Stegostoma tigrinum: one gene and its partner. The protein of the gene in region 1 purifies or fractionates together with the protein of each later gene. This does not show direct contact. Links are inferred from orthologs where the notes say so. Each region holds a gene or a part of one and is shown on either strand. Other genes may lie near its edges. The genes, in order: kinesin-like protein KIF24 and centriolar coiled-coil protein of 110 kDa-like.

Region 1 (15,059 bases):
GTGAAGTCAAATGCTTTGGTGGGAAAATAGAGGCATAGACTATTTTCTAAATGGGGAAGAGCTTTGGAAATCTGCAGCACAAAAGATTCTCTTAAGGTTAACATGCAGGTTCAATTATTAAGGCAATTGCAATAATTTTGAGAAAGCTAGAATACAGGAGCAGGATATACTGCTGAGGCAGTATAAGGTTACTGTTAGGCCACATTTGGAATATTGTGAGCAGTCTGGACCCTGAATCTATGGAAGGATATTCTGGCCTGAGAGGGATGTACGGGAAGTTTACAAGAATGATCCAGGGTGTGAAGGCCCTGTCATAAGAGCAGTTGAAGACTCTGGGTCTATATTTGACAGAGTTTCAAAGGATGGGGAGGATCTGTTTAAAACTTAAATTTAAAATTTACCATTGCATCATGGCTGATATCTTTCTCAACCCCATTCTCCTACCTTCCACCCAAAACCTTTGATTCTCTTACTAATCAAGAACCCATCTATCTCTGTCTCAAATATACTCAGTGACTCGCATCCACAGCCTTCTGCAGTAATGAATTCTGCAGATTCACTATCCTCTGCTGAAGAAATTTCTCCTCATCTCGCTTCTAAAGCGTTTCCTTTCACTTTGTGGTTGTATCCTCCTAGTCTCTCCTACTAGTGGAAACATCTCCACGTCCACTTTATCCAGGCCTCTCAGCATTCTGTAAATTTTAAACAGATTCTCCCCATCCTTTTAAACTCTGTCAAATACAGACCCAGAGTCTTCAACTGCTCTTCTTATGACAGGGCCGTCACACCCTGGATCATTCTTGTAAACTTCCCGTACATCCCTCTAAGGCCAGAATATCCTTCCATAGATTCAGGGCCTGGACTGCTCACAATATTCCAAATGTGGCCTAACAGTAGCCTTACACTGCCTCAGCAGTATATCCTGCTCCTATATTCTAGTTTTCTCAAAAGTATTCTAATTGCCTTACTAATTGAACCTGCATGTTAACCTTAAGAGAATCTTTTGTACTGCAGATTTCCAAACCTCTTCCCCATTTAGACTCAATAGGCCAAATGGTATAATTCCATTTCTTATCTTATGGTCCAAAAGAAAGTCAGACTGAAGAAATATTACTTTAAAATAAGGTTGATAATTTGAGTGGGTATTTTGCAAGTGATCACTACAGCGTTTATAAGTAACATTCTGGAAGCAGTGGTAAAACATGAAATGGGAGGGAGCAATTCAAGAAAATCACCACCAAAGAAATTTGCAGTCCGACCCCACCACCAAAGAAATCAGCAATCCAACCCCACCAGCAAAGAATCTGCAATTCGACCCCACCACCAAAGAAATCAGCAATCCAACCCCACCAGCAAAGAATCTGCGATTCGACCCCACCACCAAAGAAATCAGCAATCCAACCCCACCAGCAAAGAATCTGCGATTCGACCCCACCACCAAAGGCATTTTTCCCTCCTCACCCCTGTCTGCTTTGCGGAGGGACCACTCTCTCCGTGACTCCCTTGTCCACTTCACACTCCCCTCCAGCCCCACCACACCTGACACTTTTCCCTACAACCACAGGAAGTGCTACACCTGCCCTTACACCTCCCCCCTCACCCACATCCCAGGCCCCAAAAAGACTTTCCACATCAAGCAGATGTTCACCTGCACATCTGCCAATGTGGTATACTGCATCCGCTGTACCCAGTGTGGCCTCCTGTGCATGGAGAAACCAAGCGGAGGCTTGAGGACCGCTTTGCAGAACACCTCCGCTCGGTTCGCAATAAACAACTGCACCTCCCAGTCGTGAACCATTTCAACTCTCCCTCCCATTCTTTAGACGACATGTCCATCGTGGGCCTCCTGCAGTGCCACAACGATGCCACCCGAAGGCTGCACGAACAGCAACTCATATTCTGCTTGGGAACCCTACAGCCCAATGGTATCAATGTGGATTTCACAAGCTTCAAAATCTCCCCTTCCCCCACTGCATCCCAAAACCAGTCCAGTTCTTCCCCACCTCCCTAACCTGTCCTTCCTCCCACCTCAAACCACACCCCCATTTCCTACCCACTAACCTTATCCCGCCCCCTTGGCCTGTCCGTCCTCCCTGGGCTGACCTTTTCCCTTCCCTACCTCCCCACCTACACTCACCTTTACTGGGTCCAACCCTGCCTCTTTGACTTGTCTGTCTCCCCTCCACCTATCTTCTCCTCTATCCATCTTCGCTGTGCCTCCCCCTCTTCCCCTCCCCCATTTCTGATGAAGGGTCTAGGCCTTTCCTGAAACATCAGCTTTCCTGCCCTAAGATGCTGCTTGGCCTGCTGTATTCATCCAGCTCCAAAACTGTTATCATAAAACAAGTGGTACTAAGTATTTGGTGCTATGGACTGACAATTGCCTCGGTCCTGATGGATTTTATTGCAGTGTTTTAAAAGGAGTGGATAGTGAGATAATTGATGCATTGGTTCCAACTTTCCAAAGCTCCCTTGATTCAGGGATGGTCCCAATAGATTTGGAAGGTATAAAATGTAACTCCTACATTTAAAAAGGGAGAGTGAAAGTAGGACACCAAAGGCCAGTTAGCTTAACATCTGTTAAATGGAAGCTGTTAGAGGCAATAATTAAGAACATCATAACATAGATAGATAGAGTTGATAGCCAGAGACTATTTCCCAGGGCAGAAAAGGCTAACACGAGGGGTCATAGTTTTAAGCTGGTTGGAGGAGAGGATGTCAGAGGCAGGTTCTTTACACAGAGAGTTGTGAGACCATGGAATGCGTTGCCAGCAGCAGTTGTGGAAGCAAGGTCATTGGGGTCATTTAAGAGACTGCTGGACATGCATATGGTCACAGAAATTTGAGGGTGCATACATGAGGATCAATGGTCGGCACAACATTGTGGGCTGAAGGGCCTGTTCTGTGCTGTACTGTTCTATGTTCTAAGAGAGCACTTTGACCAAGTTAAGGCAATCAGGCAGAGTCAACAGTTTTATGAAAAGGAAATCATATCTACTGGAGATTTTTGAGGAGGTAACAAATGCTGTGGGTAAAGGGGAACTGCTGGGTGTATTGCACTTAGATTTCCAGAAGGCATTTGTTAAAGATGTCACATCAAAGATTATCAGAGAAAATGAAACCTCATGGTGTCGAAGGTAGCATATTCATTTCCATATAAAATTGGCTGGGTAAAAGGAAGCAGAGAGTACACGCGATAGATCTTTTCTTGTGTTGGTAAGATGTAATTAGAGGCGTGACGAGTTCAGTGCTAGGATCTCAACTGTTTACGATTTATAAAAATGGCTTTGCTGAAGGGACAGAAGTACAATTGTCAATTCTGACATAGGGAATAGGTAGGAAAGTACATTGTAAAGAAGACACAAGGTGATTACAAAAAGATACTGCTACATTGTGAGTGGACAAAGGTGTGGCAAAAGGCATATAATTTGGAAAATGTGAAGTTGCCCATTTTTTAGGAAGAATAAAAAAAGGATATAATCTAAATGGTAAGAGATTGCACAGCTCAACGATACACAGATTGGGGAGCCCCCATACATGAACGGCAAAAAGTTAGAATGCAGGCACAGCAAATTAGGAAAGCTAATTGAATGTTATCATTTATCACGAGATCTGGAAACTAAAGCTGTGACATTGAAAGAACGATGGTGAAAACATGGAGTACTGCGCACAGTAATCCATTTAAAGATTTAAATGCATTGGAGGAATTAATATCTGGAACAGGTGAATTGTTTTATGAGGAAAGGGTGGACGGGTTAGTCATGTATCTGCTCGAGTTTAGAGTAACAAGTGATTAGTTAAAACAACTAAATCTTGAGGCGTACTGATAGATTTGGAAAGGGTGTTCCTGCTTTTGGGAAAACTTAGAACGGAGAGGTGGGTGTGAGCAGATCATCAATGTTTAAATAAAACTTAGGGGTCATCCATTTAAAAGGGACTGGGTAAAATGTTTGTCTCTCAGTCACAAGTCTTGGTACTCTCTTGCTGAAAAACATGGTGGGAAACTGAGTTCTTGAAAATTTTTAAGGCAAATGTTGACAGATTCTTATTAAAGGGTTGAAAAATTTATCAGGGTCAGCAGGAATGTGGATCTGAGATTACAATCAGACAATCCAAGATCTTATTGATTGGACTCAAAATGCTGAATGTCCCACTCCTGATCATACGTTTGTATGATTTTCTCTCCAAACACTGCCAGACTTAGTGAATATTTCCAGCAGTTTGTTTTTATTGTATGCCCCCGAATAACCTGAAGTGCTACACAGCCAAAGAAGTTTTGTTATTTTAAGTAAAGTTAGCTGCCAAGGACCAGCAAGGTTCTCAAAACAGAAATAAGATGACTAATCAGTTCATCTGTTTTTGGTGGCATTCAGGGAATGCTGCCCTATTGGAAATGCTATATTTCAGACAAGGATGCTAAATGGAGTCTTCATCTGTCATTTTAGGACGAAGTGTCAAACTCGATGATCTGATTCAAGGACAAGCATGGTAGCACTCTGTGCTGTCCATTAGAGTCATCAGAACTGAGTATCCAAGTTAGCTTACTGTCAATTATGGAATCATTCTGAAGGAAACACAGCATGGCAAGTTTCATAATGTAATAACATCCAATACACTTCAAATGCAATTAATCGGTTAGAACATGCTGAGTTTAATGAATGGTATATAAATACAAATTAGTTCTGCCTTCCATCACCAAACTAGGGTTCTGGGTGAGGGTTAGGATTTGGAAGGGTGTGTGAAACAAAGGCCAGACATGCTTCCTTTTTGCTGCCTACTAATATTTAAGATGCAGGCTCTCACATGAAGGACCAATGGTGACATGTGAACAGTTGTATTGAGTATTGTCATTTCAAGAGCAAAGTAGAGGAGACGCCTTCAACAATTTTAACAATCCAGCTCATTTGCAAAGAACCTGGTCTTATTTGTTTGATGAGATGAACTGCTGAGCTTCTCTCAGTGCTTCCTGCATTTCTTGATATTTTGCAACTTCACAGGCCTCATCCACATTTAACCAGCGAAATGACTGGTGCTCATTAGAGAGTTTTATTTCTGTATTATAGTTCTTTAGTTCTGCCAGCCAATAGATAACAGTTTTGGGTTTATTATTCACTTTGTATATCATTTCCTTTTTGTATCCATCAAGCAGATTAAAATCTTTTCTTCTTAGCCCTGCTTCTTCCTCAGTTTCACGAAGTGCAGTTTGAAGGTCATCTTCACCTGGATCAACATGCCCTTAAAAAACAAGATTAGACATTAAGCAAGCAGGCAGTGAATAACTGGGCCGAACATAATTATTAAAGTTTCACTTAAGTTTACCACTGCAAAGAACTCTGACTGACGGATTTGTTTCCTTTTAACAGCAAGTACCAAAACACAACCTCAGAGTGACAATTATGTTGGGCACGATCTGTCCAGGTAATTGAAGTTACATATTCAGGATACACACTTAAAGTGCAGTGCCCAGCACAATACTCCAACTAGGGTCTAACCAGTATTTTGTAATGGGTCAGCATAACTTTCACGCTTTTGTATTCTGTCACAACTTAGAAAGCACAGAGTCTTATTAGCCCCAACAGCCTCAATCTGACCTGTCATCAAATCCAAGGAGCTTAATTATACGAGGTGCCAGATTCCCCACCATCACAGCTCAAAGGTTGGGTGAATAGGGGAAGGAGCTCACTGAGGGGGGAATTAAAAAAAGGTGAGATTTCTGTTTCACTGCTATCAGCCAGAAACTCTCTAGAACTTTGGGAACAAAGGTGGTGGTGCACTTATAGGAATTGGGATGAGTTTGGGGGATTTCATCTGGTACAAAGCTGGTAGAAGACTCTGGAGAGTGGGGTGGAGGATCAGGAGTTTGTACCAATAGGGATGGGAAAAGAAACCCAGGTTGGTGTAAGTCTCTTAGCAGGCACTCCAAAAACCAATAAGAAGGAGCTGCCACACCAACAGCCCACAGAAGGTAACCTACTGGACTTCCCAGGGACAGGTCTCTCCAGGTGCCAGTTAAATCCTGGTGACAGCAGGATAAGACCCAAATAACAACTAATTTCCAATGAGAGTCTTGATTAGCCCAGGTAAACTGCCCAATGTCAACCATAACATCAGTACAGTTTGGAGTGGAGGTATGGGTAAATGAGTAGATGGCAGGCAAGCCAACTGCAGAGACAAACTGTCACATGTTCTGCCTTTGAACGCATCGGCAAAGAAACTAAAATCCAGCCTCCAGTCTTTGGTCCCATAGCCACTTAAAAAAATTTACTTTACAATGCTTCTCCTATTTCTTCATCAAAAAGGACCATTTTAAGCATTAAATTTCACTTGCCTCAAATCTTCAAGTTTCTGTTTCTCCACATCTCTCTGTTCATTTCATTTACAAATTACATATCATGGCTTCAAAGCACTTTAGGGTGTCTAGTGGTCATGAAAAGTGCTGAATAAATGCATATCTTTGTCTGTAAAGTTTGAAATCATCCCAGTAACCAATTTGAAGTCATTAAAAGTATATGACATTGAATCATTTCAATATGAGAATTATATTTATCAATAAATCTATTACCATTACACACTGGAATCTGGCATGCACGTGTTTTTCAGGGACTATTTTTAGAGCAGTCTTTCCAATCATATTGTAAGTGACTTCAGAGAAGGTTGTGGCACAATGGTAATGTCGCTAGACCAGTAATCCAGTAAATCACAAATTTGAATTCAATAAAATAATGGAATAAAAACTAGCACAAAGGCAGCTGTGTAACTATTGCTGATTATCATAAAGACCCATTTGGTTCCATCCCTTTAGGATGGAAATCTGCACGTGACTCCAGATCCAGACCCAGACATGACTCAATCGTCTTCCGAACAACTGGAGATGAACAATAAATGTTGGCCTAGTTGGTGACATCCCTCCTATGAACAAATTAAAGAAATACATAGATTTAAATGAGTTATGAATATCAAATACACCCTCATTTAAGTCGATGGTGAGTATGAAAATCTCTTTACACTCAGGAATTGTGGAAGTAGTTCGGATGACTAATGGTTGCGGCCAAGACTATGCTCCAGATTTTCTAATCAGCAATGAAGGAACAGCTTTCACCATAAACCACAGGCACTGTCAGGCTTGTCAGCAGAGACATCCTGTTATTGGGGTGTTCAGCTGAGCTATCACCCTTTACTGGATATCATTGGCATTTGTCAGTAAGACATGATGTGGAGGTACCAGTGTTGAACTGGGGTGGACAAGGTCAGAAATCACATGACACCAGATTATAGTCCAACAGGTTTATTTGAACTCACAAGCTTTCAGAAGCAGAGCCTGACGACAAAGGGGCAATGCTCCAAAAGCTTGTGTTTTTAAATAAAGGTGTTGGACAATAATCTGGTGTTGTGTGATTTCCGACCTCGTCAATGAGACAAGCAGCAGATTGGCTCTTCAACCAGATTAAAAGAATCAAATTGAGCCACAGACTGTGAAAACCAGAAACAAAATACATTTCTGAATCACTGCACAAGCAGCAAAATAAAATTGGGATGTTTAAACTGGATTATTGAAACAACAGAAAACATTTATAAAAAAACTTTTACTTCTTTAAAGATCAGTAACACTAATTTTCTTCCCAGAATGAGGCCTCAGATTTAGAATTGGTTTTCAAAACAAGACACTGGCCAGCAGTAACTATTTTTACTCTACTCATTGCTAATTGTAAAAAGTATGTGTTTTAATTTATTTTCAGCATGAGAACAGTTGGCAATTCACATAATGTATACTTTAACAACTACTGGAGATTCTAACCATCATAATTAGCAGTGGGGAAAAGATATCAATGACAACAACTTTCAAATTCACATGATGAATCGTGCATGAAGGACAGAAATTGCAGTTAGATCTACACAGAAGTAGCAGGTAAATAATGGGTGCCTCCTATACCCCTAATACCAGTGATATAGAGTTGAGGAAAAACTTCTTTACCCAGAGAGTGGCGAATATATGGAATGCTCTGCCCCAGAAGGCAGTGGAGGCCAACTCTGTGGATACTTTCAAGAAAGAGATAGATAGAGCTCTTAAAGATAGTGGAATCAAGGGTTATGGGGATAAAGGCAGGAACAGGATACTGATTGTGGATGATCAGCCATGACCATAATGAATCGTGGTGATGGCTCGAAGGGCCGAATGGCCTACTCCAGCACCTATTCATCCAGCCTCACATTTTATTATCTCCTCTACTCCAACACATATTGTCTATAGGCAGCCCATCCCTCGCCCAAAGCCAGCACAGAACAGGCAACATCCTCTCTGCTCGAATGAAGCACCTTTAGGAGGCGTCCAGTGATGCTGTCCATAGGAAGTCTGCAAAAGTAGGAACTCGATGTCCTGAGGCTTAGCAGCTAATCCGGTGTTTAACCTCCTGAAAATAATCAGTCCACAGGCCCTCAGTGTCATGGCCGGAGACAGGAAGAGACACCAACCGAAAACCGGAAGCTCATCCGCGAGACCAATTAGCGGCGACAGTCTCACATAATCAATTCACCAATTAATTCAGCTGAAACGGAATCGGAGATTCGCATCTAAAAGCGTTGGGTGTTCTCTCTGCAGATGGACGCTGTAACTAGCGTTTTTACGATTCTCTCTCATTAATCGACTATCAGTTCAAAGCTTTTACTAAAGGTCTCTTGCTGAATGGGTGGTAATTTCTTGTAAAGTGACGGGATCTTGTGATAACAATGTGTAGAGCTGGATGACCACGAGAAGCATCTGAGGAGCAGGAAAGCTGACTTTTCGGGCCTAGGCCCTTTTCGGCCCGAAACGTCAGTTTTTCCTGCTCCTAAGATGCTGCTTGGCCTGCTGTGTTTATCCAGCTCGACCGCCTTGTTATCTTGGATTCTCCAGCATCTGCAGTTCCCACTATCTCGAGGATCTTGCGATAGGTCAACGCTTCTGTGCTTCCCTGATTGGTCGAACGGTTGTATAGCGGATGTACAATCATCTTTTGTCCCCTGGCCAATTACCGTAGGTTCTTATAGGTCAGAGCCAGATACCTGGTGGTGATTGGTTTCTGGATGATCACCGGGCCGCCGACACCGGGCACGGATTGGTCAGGGCCGTGCGCGGGGCCGCAGCGCGCGCTGCGCGAGGCGGCTTTCAAACGGCCGGCGGCGTTGCCATGGATCCGAATGGCGCTGTTGTTACGGCAGAATGAGTGGGAGCTGCAAAGTTGGTAAGTGGATTGCCCCAATAAAAGCAATAAGTTCAACATCAGCAACTGTCTATATTTATGTCGTATAATAGTAGTAATGTTATTAAAAATAATGGGGGTGGTAGCGTTAATGGAAAGATGTTATCAAAAGTACGTACATGGATGATGCCGGAAACTGTAGGTGTACGCGCAGGAGTGGACAATTGGCTCTCATTTACTTTGAGAAAAGATGCCCGAGAGGTGTCCCAGTGATAATGGGAACTGCAGATGCTGGAGAATCCAAGATAACAAAGTGTGGAGCTGGATGAGCACAGCAGGCCAAGCAGCATCTCAGGAGCACAAAAGCTGACGTTTCGGGCCTAGACCCTTCATCAGAGAGGGCGATGGGGAGAGGGAACTGGAATAAATAGGGAGAGAGGGGGAGGCGGACCGAAGATGGAGAGTAAAGAAGATAGGTGGAGAGGAGAGTGGAGGTAGGGAGGGGATAGGTCAGTCCAGGGAAGATGGACAGGTCAAAGAGGCGGGATGAGGTGGTAGGTAGGAAATGGAGGTGCGGCTTGAGGTGGGAGGAAGGGATGGGTGAGAGGAAGAACAGGTTAGGGAAGCTGGTTTTGGGATGAGTTTCTGTTCAGATGGCAGTTCACTCTCACACTGATTTTCAAATGCCCTCTTTTTTTATACCTTTGACCTATTAATTTCTTATAATAAAATTGCTTCTAGGTTGTCAAAGCCATCAGATTTAAATTTAATTATATTTTGGTCTCTAGAGCCTGATTTAAATTAATTGGCTAACTTCAAAAACCTGTTGCCTTGGTAAAAATGCTGCTTTGCCTGCTAACAGTATAGCTTTTTGACACAATATTTCAGTTTCAAGAACTCTGTCTGCCGACAATAAAGCCTAAAAAGACATCATCTTTTAAAGGGACCACACACTCTTTTCCCCTCATCATTGTCCAAGCAAATACTAATGTCCTGCCTTCGAGTCCACAAATACTATACCCAACTTAGCAACATTGTCATTACAAGATAGCAAGTAAAAGTCCAGCAATGAATTCTGAAGAAACTTATTTTACCAAAATATTGGTGAGAGTGTGGAACTCAGTGCCATGGGGAGTGTTTGAAATAAATAGTGTAGCGGCAATTAAAAATAAGCTCGATAAGCATTTGAAGGAGAAGGGAATATAAAGTTGCTGTAGTCATAGATGAGGAAGATGGAAGCAGATTCAAGTGGCTTACAAGCAGTGACTTGATTGGTTGAGTGGAATAGCCTGTTTCTGTCAAACTGTCCTACGTAGATGATTTGATAATATTCTTTAGGGAAGAAAATCTATGGTCCTTACTTAGCCTGGCCTATGCAGCCTTCCTGCGGGACACAGGGTGGTCGATGATGTAATATTAGGTAATGAAGCTTGGCAAAAAGGGTGAGGTATGGGGGAGGTGCAGGTGCATTTTTCAGACAATGATTATAACTTTATTAGCTTCAAACTCCTGCTGGAAAATGACAAGGATGTGCCTGAAATCAAAACTCTAAATTGGGAAAGGCTGATTTTCATAAGATCAGATATGATTTCACCAAAGGTAAATGGAAGAACAGTGGGACACATTCAAGAAGGAAACAGGAACAGTACAAGGCAAATGTGTTCCAATAAAGATAGAGGGTGGAGCCAACACATCCAGTGAACCCTGAATGTCGAGGCATACCCTGGAAAGAATTTAGAGAAAAAGGCAGGCTTATTGCATGTACTCAGGGCTCAAAACAGCAGAACCCATAGAGGAATATAAATGGGAAGTTGAAATTTGAGGAAAGAAATTAGGAGAATAAAAAAGGTGTAGGAAAAGATAATGGCAGATAAAATAATCAAAAATCTTGAATTATTTTCTGTGACTCTATCTGGACATTTTGGTAAGCATGGACCTGTTTGGGCCAAAGGGCCCTGCTGGAGGAATCTGACTGCAACAGTAAGGATGAAAGGTTAACAACCACAGTGGTAATTTTGAGAGTGGAAATGGAAGGTATAGGTAACGTTCGACATGAATACTTTGTGTCAGTGTTCATTATTCAGCTGGACTACCTGGGTATAGAAATCAAGGAGAAGGGCTGTGATACAATTAAAGAAATTAGCATAGACAAAGAGGAAGGTTTGAGTGTCCTGACAGGCCTAAAAGTATGTAAATCACTTGGGCTGGATGAAATGTATTCAGCTGTTGAGTGAGACAAGGGAGGAAATAGTGTGGATGCTCGCATTATGTTCAATTCCTCTCTGGCCAGAAGAGAGGTGTCAGTTAACTGGATGACAGCCAGTTATTCAAGGAGGGTAGGGGAAGGTAAATAGGAAACCACAGCTGTCATTCCAACCTCCATGGTCGGGAAAATATTGGAAGCAATTCTGAAGGACAGAATGGAGACACAGGGATTAATTAATAATGGTCAGTGTCGTTTTATTAAGGGGACCTCTGACCAACTTGATTGTTTTCATTTCTTGAAGAGATGTCCAGGTGTGTAGATGAGAGCAATGTATTTGGCACAGTCAACCTGAACTTTTGCAAGACTTTTAATAAGGTCCCACATGGGAGAGACTGATAGCAAAAGTGAGAGTTCATTGTATCCAAGGAAAGTTGTCAAATCGGATCCAGAATTGGCTCAGTGGCAGGAAGCAGAGATTGATGGTCTAAGGGTGTTTCTTGACTGGAAGCCTGTGTCCAGTAAGATCCTACAGGAATCAGCCTTTGCTATTTTACATATAAATGATTTTGCTTTAATGTAGGAGGGTTAATCAATAATTTCAGGGATGATGTGAAAATTGATGCAGTGATAAATAATGAGGGGGATAACCTTCAAGTACAGGAGGATTTAGATATCCTGGTTAGACGGACCGATCCGGCAAATGGAATTAAATCCAGATAGGTGTGAGGTGTTGCACTTAGGCAGGTCAACATGGTAAGGAAATACCTGATGAACAGAAGGACCTTGGGGAAACCTGAAGACACAGGGGTCTTGGTGTACATATTCACCAGCCCCTTAAGATAGCAGGACAGATAGATAAGGTGGTTAAGAAGGCTTATTGATACTTGCCTTTATGAGCCGAAGCATGGCATTCAAGAGCAGGGAGGTTATGCTGGAACTGTATGAAATGTTGATTAGGCCAAAGCTGAAGTATTGTATGCAATTCTGGAATCTACATTAATGGATGGATGTGATACCGCTGGAGAGAATACAGAGGAGATTTACTAAAATGTCATCCGGGCTGGAGTGTTTTAGTTATGAAGAGAATAGATGGTATAGGCAGAAGAAACTCTTTGATTCAGTGGAGGATTCAATGACCATGGGACATAGGTTTAAGGCAGGAAGTTTAGAGGGAGTATGAGGAAACATATTCACCCAGAGGTAGTGGGAATCTGGAACTTATTGTCTGTCAGGGTGGTAGAGGCAGAAACCTTCTTAACGTTTAAGAAATATTCAGATGTGCACCTGCGATGCCAAAGCATACAAGGTGATGGGCTAATTGCTGGAAAATGGTCTTGAAATAGATCAGTGCTGTTTTTGACCAGTGCAGAGTTGATGTGCTGCAGGACCTTTATCTGTGCTATAGATCTCTGTGACATGTGGTCAACTTTTAACTGCCCTCTGTAATGGTCGAGCAAGCGACTCAGTTCAAGGGCAGTTAGGCACATGCAATAAATGTTACAATGAAGTAAAATCAAAAAATTCTGGGATTTAAATTGAAGTTTATGTTGAAACTAGTATTTTATGTAAGTCAATTCACTGTATCTGTGGATGCTTGAGGGAGGAATGACTCAGTAATATTAATGGAATTGCAAAAGTCAGTTAGTAGTGTCATTGCCAACTTCTCATGTTTATTGGTTCTGATTATTAAAATCATACAATATTAATGACTTAGTGCTGCATTTCAGTCTTGAGCAAAGTTATAGCTCATGGAAAGAAATAGACAGTAGCAACATAGATGCAAATCTGTCAGAATGACAGGAAACATTAGGAGTTAATGGGTGATTTTTGGACTAGAATAAGATATGTACTAGAGTTCCCCATGGGCCTGTTTGGACCCTTAAACTTTGTGATTTGTTAATGACATAGATTTTGGTGGAAATGGCACAATTTCAACAGTTGTGGGTGACAAAAAACTGGGAAGCATTGTGAACTATTGATAAAGTATACAGTATCCTTCGGTATAGTAATAGAGGTATGAAGTACAAGAAGCCCAACATTATGTTAAACTTGTATGAAATGCTATTTTGATGTCAACTAGAGTGTTCTATCCAAAGCTGACTGGCCTTTGTTTTCTTGCTTTCTGTCTCCCTTTTTGAATAAAGGAATTACATTTTCTATTTTCCAATCTCTTGGAGCCATCCTTGAATCAGAGCTCTGGAAAATTAGAACTAATGCATCAATTATCTCACAAGCCACTTTTCCTTTTTAAAAAAACACACTATGATAAAGTCCATCAGGCCCTGGGTAATTGTCAGTCTGTAGCTTCAACTATTCAGCACCACTTCTCTTGTGATTATGATTTTCCTGAGTTGCTTTTTCCCTTCCATTTCATGATTTTTACTTCAACTAGGATGTTATTTGTAAGCTCTGTAGTGAAGACTGTTGCAAAATAGCCACTCAAATCCTTAGCCATTTCCCTATTTTTGCAGTAATATTTCTTCAGTCTGACTTTATATAGCGTCATACGACCATAAGACATAGGAGCAAAATTAGGCCATTTGGCCCATCATGCCTCCGATGCTATGAGATCATGGCTGATAAATTTCTCAATCCCATTCTTCTGCCTTTTCAATAATCAAGAACCTGTCTTTCTCTGTCTTAAATTAAGTGATTTGGGCCTCCACAGACTTCTGTCACAATGAATTCCACAGGTTCACCACTGTCTAGTTGAAGAAATTCCCATTACTTTATTGACAGAAAGAGGCTTATAATGTTGCCAGAAAGAGAAGGATATCTGAGCTGTGGGTATTTTAGAATTCAGCAGAGAAAACCATGTTATTGATCATTTATGTTTGATCCTTCATTATTTAAACTACCAAGGGGCACTAAAAAGTTAATATACTTATAAGTCAGTTGGAGGCAGAGACTGAGAAATTATAATGGAGATTTTGAAATTGTGACAGATAATAAAATTCTCCAATAGCCTGGATTTTGCAGAGGTAATGATGATGTGTTCATGTTTGTTACTCCTCAGGAGTCCATACACACATAGTCAAATATCAAAATCTAGAAGTTTCTATCAATGATTAAGAATACTATGCCACAATTATTGAATAAAGAACCCGTCTGGTAATAGAAAATTATATATTTAAAATTGCAAAACTTTCATCACAAAAGTGCCAAGCTTTTAAGTTTATAGTTTTTAGTTTCTATTATATATCTATCTGTTTTGGGGCCACTGCTGTTTGTCATTTTTATGAATGACCTGGATGAGGGCATAGAAGGATGGGTTAGTAAGTTTGTGGATGACACTGAAGTCGGTAGAGTTGTGGATAGTGTGGAAGGATGTTGCAGGTTACTGAAGGACATAGATAAGCTGCAGAGCTGGCAAATGGAGTTTAATGCAGAAAAGTGTGAGGTGATTCACTTTGGAAGGAGTAACAGGAATACAGGGTACTGGGCTAATGGTAAGATTCTTGCTAGTGTGGATGAGCAGAGAGATCTCAGTGCCCATGTGCATAGATTCTAGAAAGTTGCCACCCAGGTTGATAGTGTTGTTAAGAAGGCGTATGTGTGTTAGGTTTTATTGGTAGAGGGATTGAGTTTCGGAGCCATGAGGTCATGTTGTAGCTGTACAAAACTCTGCTGTGGCCACACTTGGAGTATTGTGGTCGCCGCATTATAGGAAGTATGTG
Region 2 (15,834 bases), on another chromosome or scaffold:
AAAGTGCTTTTCTACTCATTTTAACCAAATACAAAACTCTCTCTTACTGACCCCATCAAGCACACCAGAGATAGGGACAGTATGGGATTTAAATAAAAGCCCCCTTTGGCTCTTCCAAGGGGTCCAAAATAAACACAAAAGAAAAAAATCTAAGTAAATTAAAACAGCGTTTTGCTAGGCATAAAACTGAGACTCACACAAAAAGTCGAATAGAAACTTACGCTACTAAATCAAAATATCATTATTCAAACTGATGATACTTTACAGCCGCCATGATGCCCATTGTCACAAAAGGCCTCAAGCCTCCTCCACAATCATTATCATCTCTGTGCTTTTTGTTCTAGGATCTCCCTCACCCTCTAACCATTCCCTGATCTTCCCTGTTCCACTTGCTCGTCTCCATCTTTCTCAACAGTATGAAATCCAATGTTTTACTCTTCTCTTCAGTTTAAAAAAAACGTCATACTGGATTTGACACTTCCTGTTTTTAATTTTGAGCTGTTCAGTTTGAGAAATCTGAGTCATTCTTAATTTGATGCCAGACAAGCATTCACAAGATTGACAGAAGTACAGCAGAACCTCTGCTTACAGAAGCTAACACAAATTATTTCACTGAGGTACAACACAAAAGGTGGAGAGAGAAGTGGGGGCGGGGGCGGGGGGGGGAGAGGCAGAGAGAGGGGGAGAGGGAGAGGGAGAAAAGAGGAGAGAGAGAGAGAGAGAGAGAGGGGGGGGGGGGAGAAAAGAGGAGAGAGAGGGGGAGAAAAGAGGAGAGAGAGAGAGGGGGAGGAAAATAATGGAAATTCTGGAAATGAAGGTGCAAGGGATGGGAAGCCTGCAGATGAGCATAGCAATTTGTCATCCCATCCAAATAGGCTTTGTTGGCACTTAAGTCCACATCAGCCAGCTTCACTAAAACTTATCCACATCTTCCTCTATTTCTCTCTCACTCTTCCGTGTGCTTGTCATCAGTTTAAACGTGACTAAGGTATCACCTAAACAACTCCTTATAATAAGGAGTACCATATCCTTGGGATAATGCGGTGTCTCAAAAATTTCTCACTGGATTTAATCATGAATGCCTTCTATAAATAACCCTTAGATTAGATTCCCTACACTGTGGAAACAGGCCCTTCAGCCCAACAAGTTCACACCACCCTTTGGAGCATCCCACCCAGACCCATCCTCCTATAACCCACACACCCATGAACACTACGGGCAATTTAGCACAGCCAATCCACCTAGCTTGCACATCTTTGGACTGTGGGAGGAAACCAGAGCGCCCAGAGGAAACCCACGCAGACACGGGGAGAATGTGCAAACTCCGCACAGACAGTTACCCGAGACTGGAATTGAACCCGTGTCCCTGGCGTTGAGAGGCTGTGGTGCTAGCCACTGAGCCGCCGTGCCGCCTTTTAGTTTTGGACTTTTCCATAAATAAACCATTTCCTTCTATTTACTCCAATAATTCTTTCATAATGTTACAATCTCCATTAGGTCACTTTCAGCGCTCCTCTCTGAGCCTTTCCCAGGTATAACCAGGTATATCAGTTCTGATATCAGTTCATCATATGGAATTGGCCAGTCAAGCAAATGCAGTGGAAGGTTGTGGTATAATTGATCCAGAAACCAGGAGCACCTGTTGACTAGAGATCGAAACAAAGAGACTGCAGTCGTTCATGCAATATCCATAGTCCACGAATAAATAAAAGTAAGATATCTAATAGATGACCTTGAAGAGAAAAGTGGAAGAAAAGCTGACTGAACGTTTCAGAATATTTGGGTGAAGTGAAACGCATTTAACAGAAAGTGTCAATGTCATGCAAAACTTGAAGAGAATAATTCATTTTTTAAAATTATACACGTGACTATGAGAATTGCATGTCACATCTTTGTTGCAAAACACTTCAAGGTAAAAATATTCCTCAAAGCAGTTCTGCACAACATTAGTGGTCTTTTAAATTACTCCATCAACATCCACTCAAAAACATATTCAGTTAGGACTTATTTACTTTGTGGTGCTCCAGAATATGATTAATATTGGCATTAACAAGGACAACATCATCTTAAATCAAACTGGCATTGCTCCTCACAGATTCAAATGGATTGTTCACTCAAAACCATGTTTGTATTTTACATGAATCAAAAAATATATTGTACCTGCATTGCATGACCTTTGACATCAAAGTAAATGGTCATATTGCCTTTGAGACTTTCAACAATAGCTTCCTCCAAGGTTGGGACTTTCTCATTTGGAAAGTATTTGCTACATAGAACAGAAATGCAAATCATATTAGATATTGAGGGTTTAAGAAATAAATATTGAAATTAATTAAGTTCAATTACAAAAACTGAATTGTAAAAATTAAAAAAACAAATTACATTGTTTTAAAATGAAAATGTTTATGAAAACAGCATAAATATTTACAATGAGTTTTAAACATTGTACGATTGTAGTTTCCTGCACAACTGAACAATGAAACGTATGAACAAGAAACAATGAAAAACAGTTAAAATTAATTGATGAATATCAAGGTTATTTCTAAATCAGAAGCAAAAACAGAAATTGTTAGAAAAGCTCAGCAGACATGGGAGCTCCTGTGGAGAGAAATCAGAGTTAACATTTCCAGTCGAGTGACGATTCCTCAGACTCAAAACGTTAACTCCGATTCCTCTCCACAGATGCTGCTAGACCTGCTGAGTTTTTCCAGCAATTTCTGCTTTACAGCATCTACAGCTCTTTGGGTTTTTTAAACTACTTGGTTCAAAAATTAATTAGAAATAAAAATCTCTGCTGTTTCTCACAGACCAATTATCTGGTCTATTCATACAGCACATTATAGTTAGCCATACAGCTGAGCAGCAAACCGGAATACAAGTATTATATATTTTCACATAAGACAACCATAGAAGAGGCAAGAAACAGAGACACACAAATTAGGCTCTATCATATGTTGAAAGGTTTCTTCCAGAAATGTAAAATGTTCTTTCTGGATGTTTTTGTAATGCAATGAGTAGATTGAGACAGTTTCATCTGTCAACCACATTTTAAATGCGTTGCGACTTAGCTGTAGCACAGTGCTCTGAAGTCAGTCTTCGGAGGTTCCCAGAGTGCTCAAAGGATCCTGGATGGCATTTAAGACGTATCTAAATTTCACGGAACTATGCGGCACACAATGTCAAACCCATTACGTGAATGAAAACCTTATTAAGATGTTCTCACACAGCCCTTATCTGGAAAGTGAGAAGATACCTTTGGACCTATAAGATAATGGAGCCATTGCAAAGTAGATACTGATTGTATTGCAATCAACCACATCGTTATCAGACTGCGACTGAATGAGTCCAGAAAAAAAAATTGATAACCATATGCCCTACTGTAGTTCTCCAAGGTATTACAATTCAAAGGTACTGCAAAGAATAAAGTTAGAACCCAAAAGAAGGAATTGATCAGGTTGCACAAAATGCCAGTGCAGTTTTCAAAGCATAGCTGGCTGAACATATAGAACATTACAGCACAGTACAGGCCCTTCGGCCCTCGATGCTGTGCCGACCTGTCATACCGATCTCAAGCCCATCTAACCTAAACTATTCCATGTACGTCCACATGCTTGTCCAATGACGACTTAAATGTACCTAAAGTTGGTGAATCTACTACCGTTGCAGGCAAAGCGTTCCATTCCCTTACTACTCTCTGAGTAAAGAAACTACCTCTGACATCTGTCCTATATCTTTCACCCCTCAACTTAAAGCTATGCCCCCTCGTGCTCACCGTCACCATCCTCGGAAAAAGGCTCTCCCTATCCACCCTATCTAATCCTCTGATTATTTTATATGTTTCAATTAAGACACCTCACAACCTTCTTCTCTCTAATGAAAACAGCCTCAAGTCCCTCAGCCTTTCCTCGTAAGACCTTCCCTCCATACCAGCCAACATCCTAGTAAATCTCCTCTGCACCCTTTCCAAAGCTTCCACATCCTTCTTATAATGCGGTGACCAGAACTAAACACAATACTCCAAGGGCGGCCGCACCAGAGTTTTGTACAGCTTCACCATAACCTCTTGGTTCCGGAACTTGATCCCTCTATTAATAAAAGCTAAAACACTGTATGCCTTCTTAACAGCCCTACAACCTGGGTGGCAACTTTCAAGGAGCTGTGTACATGGACACCGAGATCTCTCTGCTCAGCTGCACTGCTAAGAATCTTACCATCAGCCCTGTACTTTGCCTTCTGGTTACTCCTACCAAAGTGCATCACCTCACACTTGTCCACATTAAACTCCATTTGCCACCTCTCAGCCCAGCTCTGCAGCTTATCTATGTCTCTCTGCAAACTACAGCATCCTTCGTCACTATCCACAACTCCACCGACCTTAGTGTCATCTGCTAATTTACTAACCCATCCTTCTACGCCCTCATCCAGGTCATTTATAAAAATGACAAACAGCAGTGGACCCAACACCGACCCTTGCGGTACACCACTAGTAACTGGTCTCCAGGGTGAACATTTCCCATCAACTATCACCCTCTGTCTTCTTTCAGCAAGCCACTTTCCGATCCAAACTGCTATATCTCCCACAATTCCATTCCTCCGCATTTTGTACAATAGCCTATTGTGGGGAACCTTATCGAGCGCCTTGCTGAAATCCATATACACCACATCAACCGCTTTACTCTCATCTACCTGTTTGGTCACCTTCTCAAAGAACTCAATAAGGTTTGTGAGGCAAGACCTTCCCTTCACAAAACCGTGCTGACTATCCCTAATCAATTTATTCTTTTCTAGATGATTATAAATCCTATCCCTTATAACCTTTTCCAACACCTTACCAACAACTGAGGTAAGGCTCACTGGTCTATAATTACCAGGGTTGTCTCTACTCCCCTTCTTGAACAGGGGAACCACAGGGCTGCAACACTTCTGAAATAACAATACACTGAAAAATGTGGTCTAATTCTTATCAATTTGAGATTCCATCGCAAAAAATTTGAAAAGGTTGTTTTACTACTATAATCAGCATGGGATACATTCTGATTACATACTGCAGTCTGTGCTTGGCTGCCGGGTTAAGTTTTCGGACATCTTCGAAAGTTAAGTGATCAAGAGAACCGATACCATCAGTTGTGCGGTCCACAGTACGATCGTGCATCAGAATAGGGAAACCATCTGAAGTGAACTCGAGATCCAGCTCCACACCAGTAGCGTTATTTTCAGCAGCCTAAATGAGGAGCGAGAACAGGACGTCTCAAAGGATTCATCAGCTTATGTGCACTGTAGCTTGACAGAACACCTCACTGTAACGCTGGCACTACATAATGCTGATTTAACTTAGACTGTCATGAAAAAAGCTCGATAATATTGATTATTCTCCTGATAGAACAGAGGATATAATGCAGTGACTTGAGTATAGACTAAGCATTCTAGTAACTTACCCGAAAATATTTTAAACGGAACTGTAGAAATTTTTTTCATTTTATTTAAATCCATCTCATGGCCAGTCCTTTTATTGTCTTTGCTCTGGCTCAGTGTACATTTTCTCTGATAACAACTCCATAATCCAGAACATATCTTGGGGCTTTGTTTGTGTAAATTAAAGAACATAAATAGAAGTTGATATTCTCGTTGTTAACTAACAATGAGTTACATAATTAAACCCAATCCTCTTCCTTGCTCACCAACTGCACAAACATATCCAGTACTGGTTGCCGTCTTGTTCTGGCAATTTTTCCCTTCAGTATCCAAGGTCAAAGAATAATACGGCTGAGATAGTTAGGATCAACTGAATCAACACAGGCAAAGAGATGTGATTTTCCAGAGCTGCATGGATGTGAACTAACTGAAAACCCACATCACACTCAGTGCCAGTTTTAACAACCGACAGTTGTAGGAATTAAGGTGTTGTAATAACGTACACAAAGCGCTCTCAAGTTTCTACCAAGCAATCCACTGAAGGTGGTGTCTCTCAAGACATTCTTTAAAATTCTATTACACATCAAGTTTTCAGTTACCAAACATTAAAAGATCTGTCTGATCATCTCCTCCTTTGGTTAGGTGCCATTTTCTGTCCCCAAGGCCTTGGGATGTTTTAACTATATTAAAAATACTATATAAATGCAGATTATTACTGCATATAAGGACCTGCTGAAGACAAGGAGATTCAGAAGGTTCCTACCAGAAACTTCACTGATTACAGGAAATTTAACAAGTTAAAAGAACCTGTTAATTTTATTTGTGTACCAATTTTTTTGTTGTGCTGTAAGCCAACTTTTGGGATACTCTTTCCTTGCAGGAAAGAATTGTTGGGTGCTTTTTTACATTGGAACTGATGAGAAATGCAACTCTGCGATGCTGGGTATTGGTTAAACCACAAAACTTTAAAAAAGCTTTCCCGAGTAAGAAAGCAGTAAATGTGGAGAGTCAAAATAATCAAAATGGTTTCAAGCTGAAACATTTTGGAGGCTCAAGATCCTTTAATATTTCTTTAAAACAGATCAATAGAGCTACTAACAAGACTTCTCCTCAGTACTGTAACAATTATTAGCAGCACTGAAAGATACAGAAGAACAAGGAGCAGCAGCTGGACATTCAGGCCTTGAATCTAATTCTGCCATTTATTAAGATCATGGTTGACCCAGTTGTAACTTTATATGCACATTCCTGTCAAATCCTGGTAACCACTTAATATATTGTTTACCAAGATAAGGTGATGAGCCATCAATTTTTTCCTAGAGTTTGGGGAGTCCTAAACAAGAGGGCATAGTTTTAAGGTGAGAGAGCAAAGATGTGCAAAGGATTGAAGAGGTAACCTTTTCATGCAGAGGGTGATGCATGTATAGAATGAGCTGCTAAAGGAAGTGGTAGAGGTGGATACAATTGCTACATTTAAAGCCATCTGGATGGTATATAGATTGGAAGAGTTTAAGAGGGATATGGGCCAAATGCTGGTAAATCAGACTAGGTCAGATTTGGATGTCTGGTCAGCACAGATCGGGTAGACTGAAGGGTCTGTTTCCACACTACGATTTTATAAGAAACTAGCTTCCACTGTTCTAAAAATATTCTTCATCCACTGGCTTTCAATGTTTACGTAAGCAAGGAAAGACTAGCCACCAAGCAACTGAAGTAACTGATGTGTGTCTGACAAGTTGAACACATCTACCAAATTTTTTTTACACTAAATATTACTGCTGTAACTACAGAAGATATTAAAATTCTGAAAATATATGGGTTGAAATTAGAAATAAGTATCACCTTGATGGGATTGTACTACAGCCCCACCTCAACAGTCAGAGAGAAATTCAGAAGCATATGTAGGGAGATCGTATGTAAGCACAATAAGACTGTAATAATGGGGTACAAAAATAGAAATTGCTATTACAGACTCAGCAGGTCTGGCAGCATGTGTGGAGAGAAATCAGAGTTAATGTTTCAGGTTGGGTGACATTCTTAAGGTTCTTGTGAAGATGTGTAGCTTGGGTTGCGGATGAAGTTGATGGCATGCTCACCGAGCTGGCTGGTTATCGTACAGGGGTTAGTATGACATTTATATGATCTGGTCCACCTTAGCTCAAGCCAACCACAGGAATTCCTAGAGGCCTGGTTTTCAACACGTAGTGCAATCAACAAACATGTGGAATTAAATCCCATATACAAATCCAGAACAAATTGGAAATGATACAACCCAACTTATGGACTAGATCATATATATTCCAAGCAGAGTAGAACTACATCACTTCATCAGAGGCTGCGATCATGTTACCTGGCACAGTGACGAAACGTATGTACGATAACCAGCCAGCTTGGTGAGCATACCAACAAACTCATCCACAACCCAAGCTACAAATATTCAAAAGAACCTTAAAGAATATCAATATATTGAAGGAGAAAGCTTTGGGTATCCTAAATTGCATTGAGGTAGACAGCTCTCCAGGAGCAGATGAGATCTATTCTAGGTTAGTGCAAGGGGCAAGGGAAGAAATAGCTGGGCCATTAGCAGATATCTACATATCCTCTTTGACCACAGGCGAGGTTCCAGAGAACTGGAGATTAGGCAATGTCTTTCCCTTGTTTAAGGAAGGCACCAGGGATGATCCCGGAAATTACAGGCCAGTCAGTCTGATGCCTGTGGTGGGGAAGGTCTTGGAGGGTCAAGATATATGCACATTTGGAAGAAAGTGGACTAGTTAAAGACAGCACGGTTTTGTGTGGGAAAGGTCACATCTCACCAGCCTGAATGAATTTGTTTTTGACCAACTGACAAATATAATCGATGAGGGAAGCGTTGTGGATGTAGGTTATTGGGACTTTAAGGCATTTGATAAAGTCCTACATGGCAGATTGGTACAAAAACTAAAATCACATGGGATTTGGGGTGGGTTCTAGGCCCAAAATGTCAGCCTTCCTGCTCCTTTAATACTGCTTGGTCTGCTGTGTTCATCCAGCTCTATACCTTGTTATCTGAGATTTGGGGTGGGCTGGCTAGACGGATACAAAACTGGCTAGGTCACAGAAGACAGAGGATAGCAATGGAAGGGCTTTTTCAGAATGGAAACCGGTAACTAGTAGTGTATTGGTCTTGGGTCCTCTGTTGCTGATATTGCCGACAACTGTGAAAGGATACACAAGGGTATAGATAGAGTGGCGACTTGGGCACAGAAATGACAGATGGAGTTTAATCCAGACAAATGGAAGGTGATGCATTTTGGAGGATCAAATTTAAGTATAAATTATACTGTAAATGGCAAAGCTCTTGGGAACATTAACATACAGACGGATCTGAGTGTACGGGTAACTTTTTTTTGGTAAAGTTAGGTCACACAGATTCAGGATGACCTTGCCAACTGGATACACGAATAATTCAACAGCAGCGGACAGAGTGGTGATAGAGGGTTACTCTTCAGAGAGGAGGCTGGTCACCAGCTGTGTTTCACAAAACTTGGAGCTGGGTTCTCTTCTGTTCATCATTTATGTAAATGATTTGTATGAAAATGTAGAAGACATGACTGGTAAGGTTGTGGATGGCACCAAAACTAACAGCATAGTAGACACTGAAGAAGATTTTCTAAGGTTACAAAGGAATCTTGATCGCATGGGTCAATGGATGGAAAGATGGTAGATGAGTTTAGTTTGGATAGATACGAGGTACTGCATTTTGGTACAAAAAGCACAGGCAGGACATACAATTAATGGCAGGGTGTTGGGTAGAAAAGAGGGACCTGGGAGTTCAGGTACATAATTCTTTGAAGTTTGCATTTTGTGGGGTTGAGAGTTGGTAAGTTTTGGCCAGGGTTGGTGGATGGAGGGAGGGGAGGGGCTGTTTTAGAAGGGACTGTAGAAGTGGAATAGGGTGGAGGGCTTCAAAGGGACGGTTGGGAGTTTGAAGATAGGAAGCCTGGAGGGCGATGAAGAAGAGACAGACAGTAGACCAACGGGACACTCACCTTCCTGATGGCCCCCAGGGTGTTCTCCGGGGCATCATAGCCGCCTCCCCGATGGGCGACTACCGAAAGGCGGCCATTGGGACGGAGCACCTGCTGAGCGACCTCGAGCGGCACGGGCGGGTACCTGAGCGCTTGCACGGCCAGGCACAAGCCGAGCACTAGTACCGGAAAGTAGACCGGGTGGCACACACTCACCACCAGCAGTGCCACCACTGCCAACAGGAGCAGAAATCCGGCCACCACCGTGACATCCATTACCGGACACCCGCCCCCCCGGCCGCTGACGCTCCAGCTCGGGCAACTGGTCCACAATGGCGCTACGGCTCCTCACCATGGACACGTCTCCAGGGACCGCCCTCACCGGCAGGCGTCAGCACGCAGCCTTACGTCAGACGCTGCAACAAAGAGGAGAGGGGCGGGGCTGACAAGAGGAACTGTTGCTGGACTGGGTTGGATAAGGTCAGAAATCACGCAACACCAGGTCACAGTCCAGTAAGTTCATTTAAAAACACGCTTTCTTACACACGCTCCTTCTTCAGGTGTCAGCCTGATGCCGAAAGCTGTCTTCAAACAGATCCGTTGGACCATAATCTTCTGATCTGTGATTTTTGACAGTATGGGAATGGCCTGAATGGGGGGCGGGGCTGATAGCAGAGAGGTGTTGTTTGTGGGGGTGGGACTGTGGCTGATAGCGGAACAGGACCGTGTGAGAAGGCGGGGCTAAAAACAGAACAAGGCGGTACGTGGGGCGGGGCCGTAGATGGGCGGGGCTATTGGCTGGGGTGGGGTTTTGGGAGGGTCGCTGTGAAAAATGGAGTGGCTGTGTGTGGGGTTAGAGATGGGGAGGGTTGAGTAATGTGAGAGTCTGTTGGAGAAAGTGCAAGGGGTCAGCTCTGTTAGGCTCAGAACCATTCGGAAACTTTGCCAAGCTGATGGCAAACATTCTCTCTAATAGCATTTGATAATTTTCATTTATCTATAGATAATTTATTTACAGTAAAACATTTATTAAATGACTTAAAGTAAATTCACAATCTCACCCATCATTGGTGCTTTACAAGGATGATTCATGAATTCCATGGATATACGATCAGCATAGAATCCTTCCAGTGCGGAAACAGACATTTGACCAATTGAGCTCACAACAGCCCTCCGACGAACATTCCACCTCCCCACCCAACTCATGCAACCCTGCATTTCCCTCGGCTAAGGGAAACTGACTAACTGCACCCCCTACGTAATATGGGGCAAGTTAGCCTGTCCAATCCAGCTAATCTGTACATCTTTGGATATGTTGGTTTGTTATCATGCACAGATCAAAGATTGGTCTGTGTGGAATGGGTTTCAATTTGTGGGACCCTGGCACCAGTAACAGGTAGAAGGGAACTGTTCTGAGGGGACAGGCTTGAACTTGAACCTTAAAAACTGAAAGAATTGTGGATTCTGTAAATAAGGAACAAAAACAAAATTGCATGAAAAGCTCAGCAAGTCTGGCAGCATCTGTGAAGGAGAAAACAGAGTTAATGTTTCGGATCTGGTGACCCTTCCTCAGAACTCAGTTTTTGATTTGAACCTTGCTGGGACCGGTTTGCTAGTGAATTAAATCATTTGGGCTTTAAATTAATGGGGTGGGGAGAGGTAGTTTGGGAGAAGGGACATTTAGGCTTACAACAGTGCTTGTCTACAAGTCTCTGAAGACAGTAGAACAGGTTAACAGGAGCAGAAATTAGGCGAACTACCCTATGTCTTATGTTCTAAAGAAGGAACATGGGATAGTTGCCCTTTATCAATTGTGGCTCAGATTATAAGAGCAAAAGATTTTGACGAAGCTATACAAAACTTTGAGTGGAGTACAGTGTGCAATTCTGGTCACAACACTATCGGAAGGATGTGATTGTACTAGAGGGGATGCAGAGGAAATTTACAAGGATGTTATTTGGAATGCAGCATTTTTGCAATGAAGTGAGGCTGGATAGGCTCAGGCTATTTTTTTTAAAGAGTAGAGAAGGCTAAGGGGAGCCTGATAGAGATGTATAAGATTATGAAGGACACGATTAGTATGGACAGAAAGCAGCAGCTCCCCTTAGTTGAAGGCTCAATTATGAATAATTTTAAATTGAACATCTGGAGGTGTAGAAAGCATTTGAGAAAATACTTTTCTTTCATTGAGAGGGTGATAGGAACCCGGAATGTACTGCCTGGGACAGTAGTAGAGGCAGGAAACCTCACAGCCTGAAGATGAGCATGAAATGTTAAAATACGAAAGACTATGGGGCAAGTATTGGAAAGTGGAATTAGTTTGGTACAGACTCAATGGGCCAAAAGGCCTTTTCTGTAGATCATAGAACTGTACAGCTCAGCAATGGGCCCTTCAGCCATGATGTTGTGCCAAAAATGACACCAAATTAAAATTAAATTAAGCACCTTTCTGAAGAAGGGTCCCGATCCAAAACATCAGCTTTCCTGCTCTTTTCATGCTGCCTGACCTGCTGTGTTCTTCCAGCTCCATATTGTGTTATCCAGTAAAAGCTAGCTGTCTTCAAATCCCATTGAAGATGAATTCTCAATCAGTGAATGAAAGACCTTTGGTGCGCAAACAATTTTGTGCAAACAAAAAACGAGAAACAAAGCAGTTCATCAACTGCTCTGATCCAGTATGCTGCTCATGAACCAGGTCTCCCTGATATTTTCCCAACCTGAATATCCATGTCTTAACTGCCTTTGTATGCATTTCTGTTTGTGAAGGGGGTATTTAAAAAGGAATAGAGTTTAAATTGTGGAGTAATAATTTGGCAATTTATTTTTCCTAATTGCTGTTTTTTGGGGTTAGCACGGTGGCACATAGCACTAGAGACCGGATTCAATTCCAGCCTTGGGCAACTGTCTGTGTGGAGTTTGCGTGTCCTCCCTGTGTCTTTGTGGGCTTCCTCTGGGTGCTCTGGTTTCCCCTCATTGTCCACAGATGTGCATGTTAGGTGGATTGCCAATGCCAAATTGCCTTGTAGATGTTGTGGGATATACAGGCTAGGTGAATTAGCCATGGGGAATTAGTAAGAATGGGTAGGATGCCCTTCAAAGGGTTGGTGCTGACTCAATGGGCTGAATGGCCTCTTTCCACACTGTAGGAATTCTCTTCTTCTAAGTACACAAACAGGGTAAATGTTTTCCTTTAAGGCAAATTTTTCAGGCAGGTAAGTTGGGAACTTTGGATAAATCTTTTCACATTTGTGAGAATTCTGGGAATAGTGTGGCTTGCTTTACAAGCACTAACCCATTAAGTCATGGTACTTATTAGAAGCTTGGGTTTTCTTATCTTTAATAAATCTTGCATTGTCACAAAACAATCTAAAAGGGGGGGGGGGTGGTGGAGATGTAGTGTCACTGAGTAGTAATCCAGCACCCCAGGTGAATTTTCTTGGAGCTAAGAACAAAATATGCTGGAGAAATTTAGCAAGTCTCAGGTGAGAGAAGCAGAATTACTGGGGACACGGATTCTTTTCTGTCCTTGACAATTAGTGAAGTTTGAATTCAATTAATAAATCTGGAATAAAAATTTGATCTCATGGTGACCATGAACTACTGTTGATTAAAACGCATCCCATTCACTAATGTCCTGAGGGGAAAAAAAGTCCTCCATCCTTACCTCGTCTGGCCTACATGTGACTCCAGACCCACAGAATCATGGTTAACTTTTAACTGCCTTCTGAAATGGCCAAAAGAGCCACTCAGTTGTACTAAACTGCTACACAGCTTGATAAAAGAGGTGGACCACTCGGTATTGTTCAAGGCACTGGCAAAACAGAGTTCACAATGAAGGTCAGGTAACTCCATTGTAAAAAGTGCTGTAATCCTTTCTACAATCTTTGATTATTAAAACAGTCCTTTTCCCATTTCAGTCCACATTCAAAACTACAGTTACACAAAAAGTTATTAATATAATGTAAATAATCAAGCCCAGCACTGATCTGGCTCTCCACTGGTTACAGCCATGGATATGACAGCCATCTGGAACAAAGTGTCGAGGTAATGTTCCCCTTCCTCGAAATGGCATAACATCTGCAGCTTGGGCTCCAGACCCTCAACTCTGTACCTAAATTCTTCTACTCCAGATGGGTTTACCCTGGATCAACTTGGTGTTCAGCAGCAACCACATGCTACAGTAGCAATACATCACCCATTCTGCAATCACTATGGTATCTTATTTAATTTGTTCATTTAATTTCCTTGTCCTTTTCTTCATTAATTCATATGATTTCAGTGTCGCGGGCTAGGCCAGCATTCATTGCCCATCCCTAATTGCACAGCGGGAAGTTAAGAATTGATCACATCATCATGTAGGAGGTGATGGCGTCATAGTATTATTGCTCGACTAATAATCCAGGGACCTAGGTAATGTCCTGAGGATCTTGTTTGAATCCCACCCTGACAGATGGTGGAGACTGAATTCAATAAATCTCTGGAATTAAGAGTCTAATGATGACCATGAATCCACTGTTGATTGTTGGAATAACCCATCTTGTTTATTGATATCATTTACTGAAGGAAACTGCTGTTGTTATCTGGTTTGGTTTACATGTGATTGCAGACCCACAGTAATGTGGTTTACTCATAAAATGCCTTCTGGGCAATTAGGGATGGGCAATAAATGCTGGTCCAGCCAGTGATGCCATCATCCTGTGAATGAATAAAATAAAGCAAGCCAGACCAGGCAAAGATAGCAGTTTCCTTCCTGAAACACTAGTGAACCAGATAGGTTTTTCCCAACAATCATCATCATCATGAGACTCTCAATTCCTGATGTTTATTTTATTCAACTTCCAGAATCTGCCAAGGCAGGATTCAAAACTCGGTCTCCAGAACATTAGACAACAAAATCTGAGGCTGGATGAACACAGCATGCCAAGCAGCATCTCAGGAGCACAAAAGCTGACGTTTCGGGCCTAGACCCTTCATCAGAGAGGGGGATGGGGTGAGGGTTCTGGAATAAATAGGGAGAGAGGGGGAGGCATCTGCAGTTCCCATTATCTCTCCAGAACATTAACTGAGTTTCAGGATTAACAGTCTAATGATAATACCACTAGATCACTGCAAAACCGCAAAGCAAGATGGTGGTGCAGTAGTGCTCCTGAGCTCGGGGTACATCTGCTTCTCTTTTCTTTTTTCCCCTCTTTGCTCTTTTTTCTCCTTTTTAATTACCTCTTGTGAAGAGCTCGGTCATGATAAAGGCATCGGCGGTTGTGCAGTGAGCCCTGTGTGGACTCGTGGTGAAGGCATTGGAGTTTGGGTTCCTGGTGGCTTCTGCATTGACAAGGTGGACCCAGAGCTGGCTCATGGCTGCTCCAGTAGAGGTGTGTTTGGTGGTTGGTGGCGACTGTGTCCAGTGCAAATTCATGGAGGCAGCCCCATAGAAAGCCCTTGGCAGCAGCAGTGGAGTTGAGTTCAAGCCAGTGCAGAATCCAGCGGCATTAATGACATCTGGCAAGAATTCAGGGTGGCACCAGCATCGGTGGGAGATGAAATGGCGCCACAGAGTGGTGACTCTTTTACTTTGAACATATAACAGGAAGGACTGTAAAGTTAACTTTATTTCTTTACTTTTCTGATTTTATATTCTAAGTTTTAGATTTTCTTGTGCTTCAAGACAGCCAGAGAATGAGGTTGTGGACATGATTGCTGAGCTGGTGGGTTTGGATGCAAATGTTTCATCACCCTGCTAGCTAACATCGTCAGTATGCCACTGGTGTTGTGTATCCATATTGTCAGCTTTCTTCTGGTTTGGCCTGTGTAGTGTTTCTCACAGTCCTTGCTTGGTATTCTATACATTACACCTGTTTTGCTGGTTTTGGGTATGGGATCCTTTACGTTTGTCAGTAGCTATCGTAAGGTGTTGTTGGACGAAAACTCACAATAGGGACACATGGACACCAATTAGCTACCAAGAGACATGACCAGTTCTACTTGTCTCACTACACATGGACAATGAGGGACAAAAATTCTATTGGGACAACACATCTTTAATCGCACAAGCCAAATAGAGATATGCCAGGGAATTCCTGGAGGCCTGGTATTCCATCCGGAACTCCATTAGCAAAAACATGGAATTAGACCTGGTGTACAAACCACTAAGAAACAGAACCAGAAGTGATGCCAACCACCCCATCAAAGCAAGGCATATAAATAACAAGTGGGACAGAACACCGACACTTCACCGGAGGCATACAATGTTACCTAGCATGGTGACTACATATTTGCATCCAAACCCACCGGCTCAGCGAGCATGCATGTAACCGCATCCACAATCCGAGCTACAAATCTTTTCAAAAACTTTAAATGGCCAGAAAATGGCAACATTGTACAACACTTGTCACTATATTTTGTAACAAAAGACAAT

What was found.
Region 2: the proteins of kinesin-like protein KIF24 (region 1) and centriolar coiled-coil protein of 110 kDa-like purify together in Homo sapiens (co-immunoprecipitation; 4 studies listed by BioGRID and IntAct, with this or other methods). This does not show direct contact. The link is inferred for Stegostoma tigrinum from reciprocal best matches to the Homo sapiens genes KIF24 and CCP110.

Annotation. Positions count from the first base shown.
Region 1 is NC_081354.1:141,151,981-141,167,039, forward strand, and holds the start of kinesin-like protein KIF24, read left to right. Parts: upstream 1-8,471; 5' UTR 8,472-9,218; intron 9,219-15,059. Other genes in the region: nudt2 (bis(5'-nucleosyl)-tetraphosphatase [asymmetrical]), read right to left, coding at 4,922-5,235, 8,314-8,443. UniProt on the Homo sapiens protein: Microtubule-dependent motor protein that acts as a negative regulator of ciliogenesis by mediating recruitment of CCP110 to mother centriole in cycling cells, leading to restrict nucleation of cilia at centrioles.
Region 2 is NC_081376.1:55,075,037-55,090,870, forward strand, and holds the start of centriolar coiled-coil protein of 110 kDa-like, read left to right. Parts: upstream 1-9,870; 5' UTR 9,871-9,935; intron 9,936-15,834. Other genes in the region: gde1 (glycerophosphodiester phosphodiesterase 1), read right to left, coding at 2,161-2,266, 5,046-5,221, 9,444-9,698.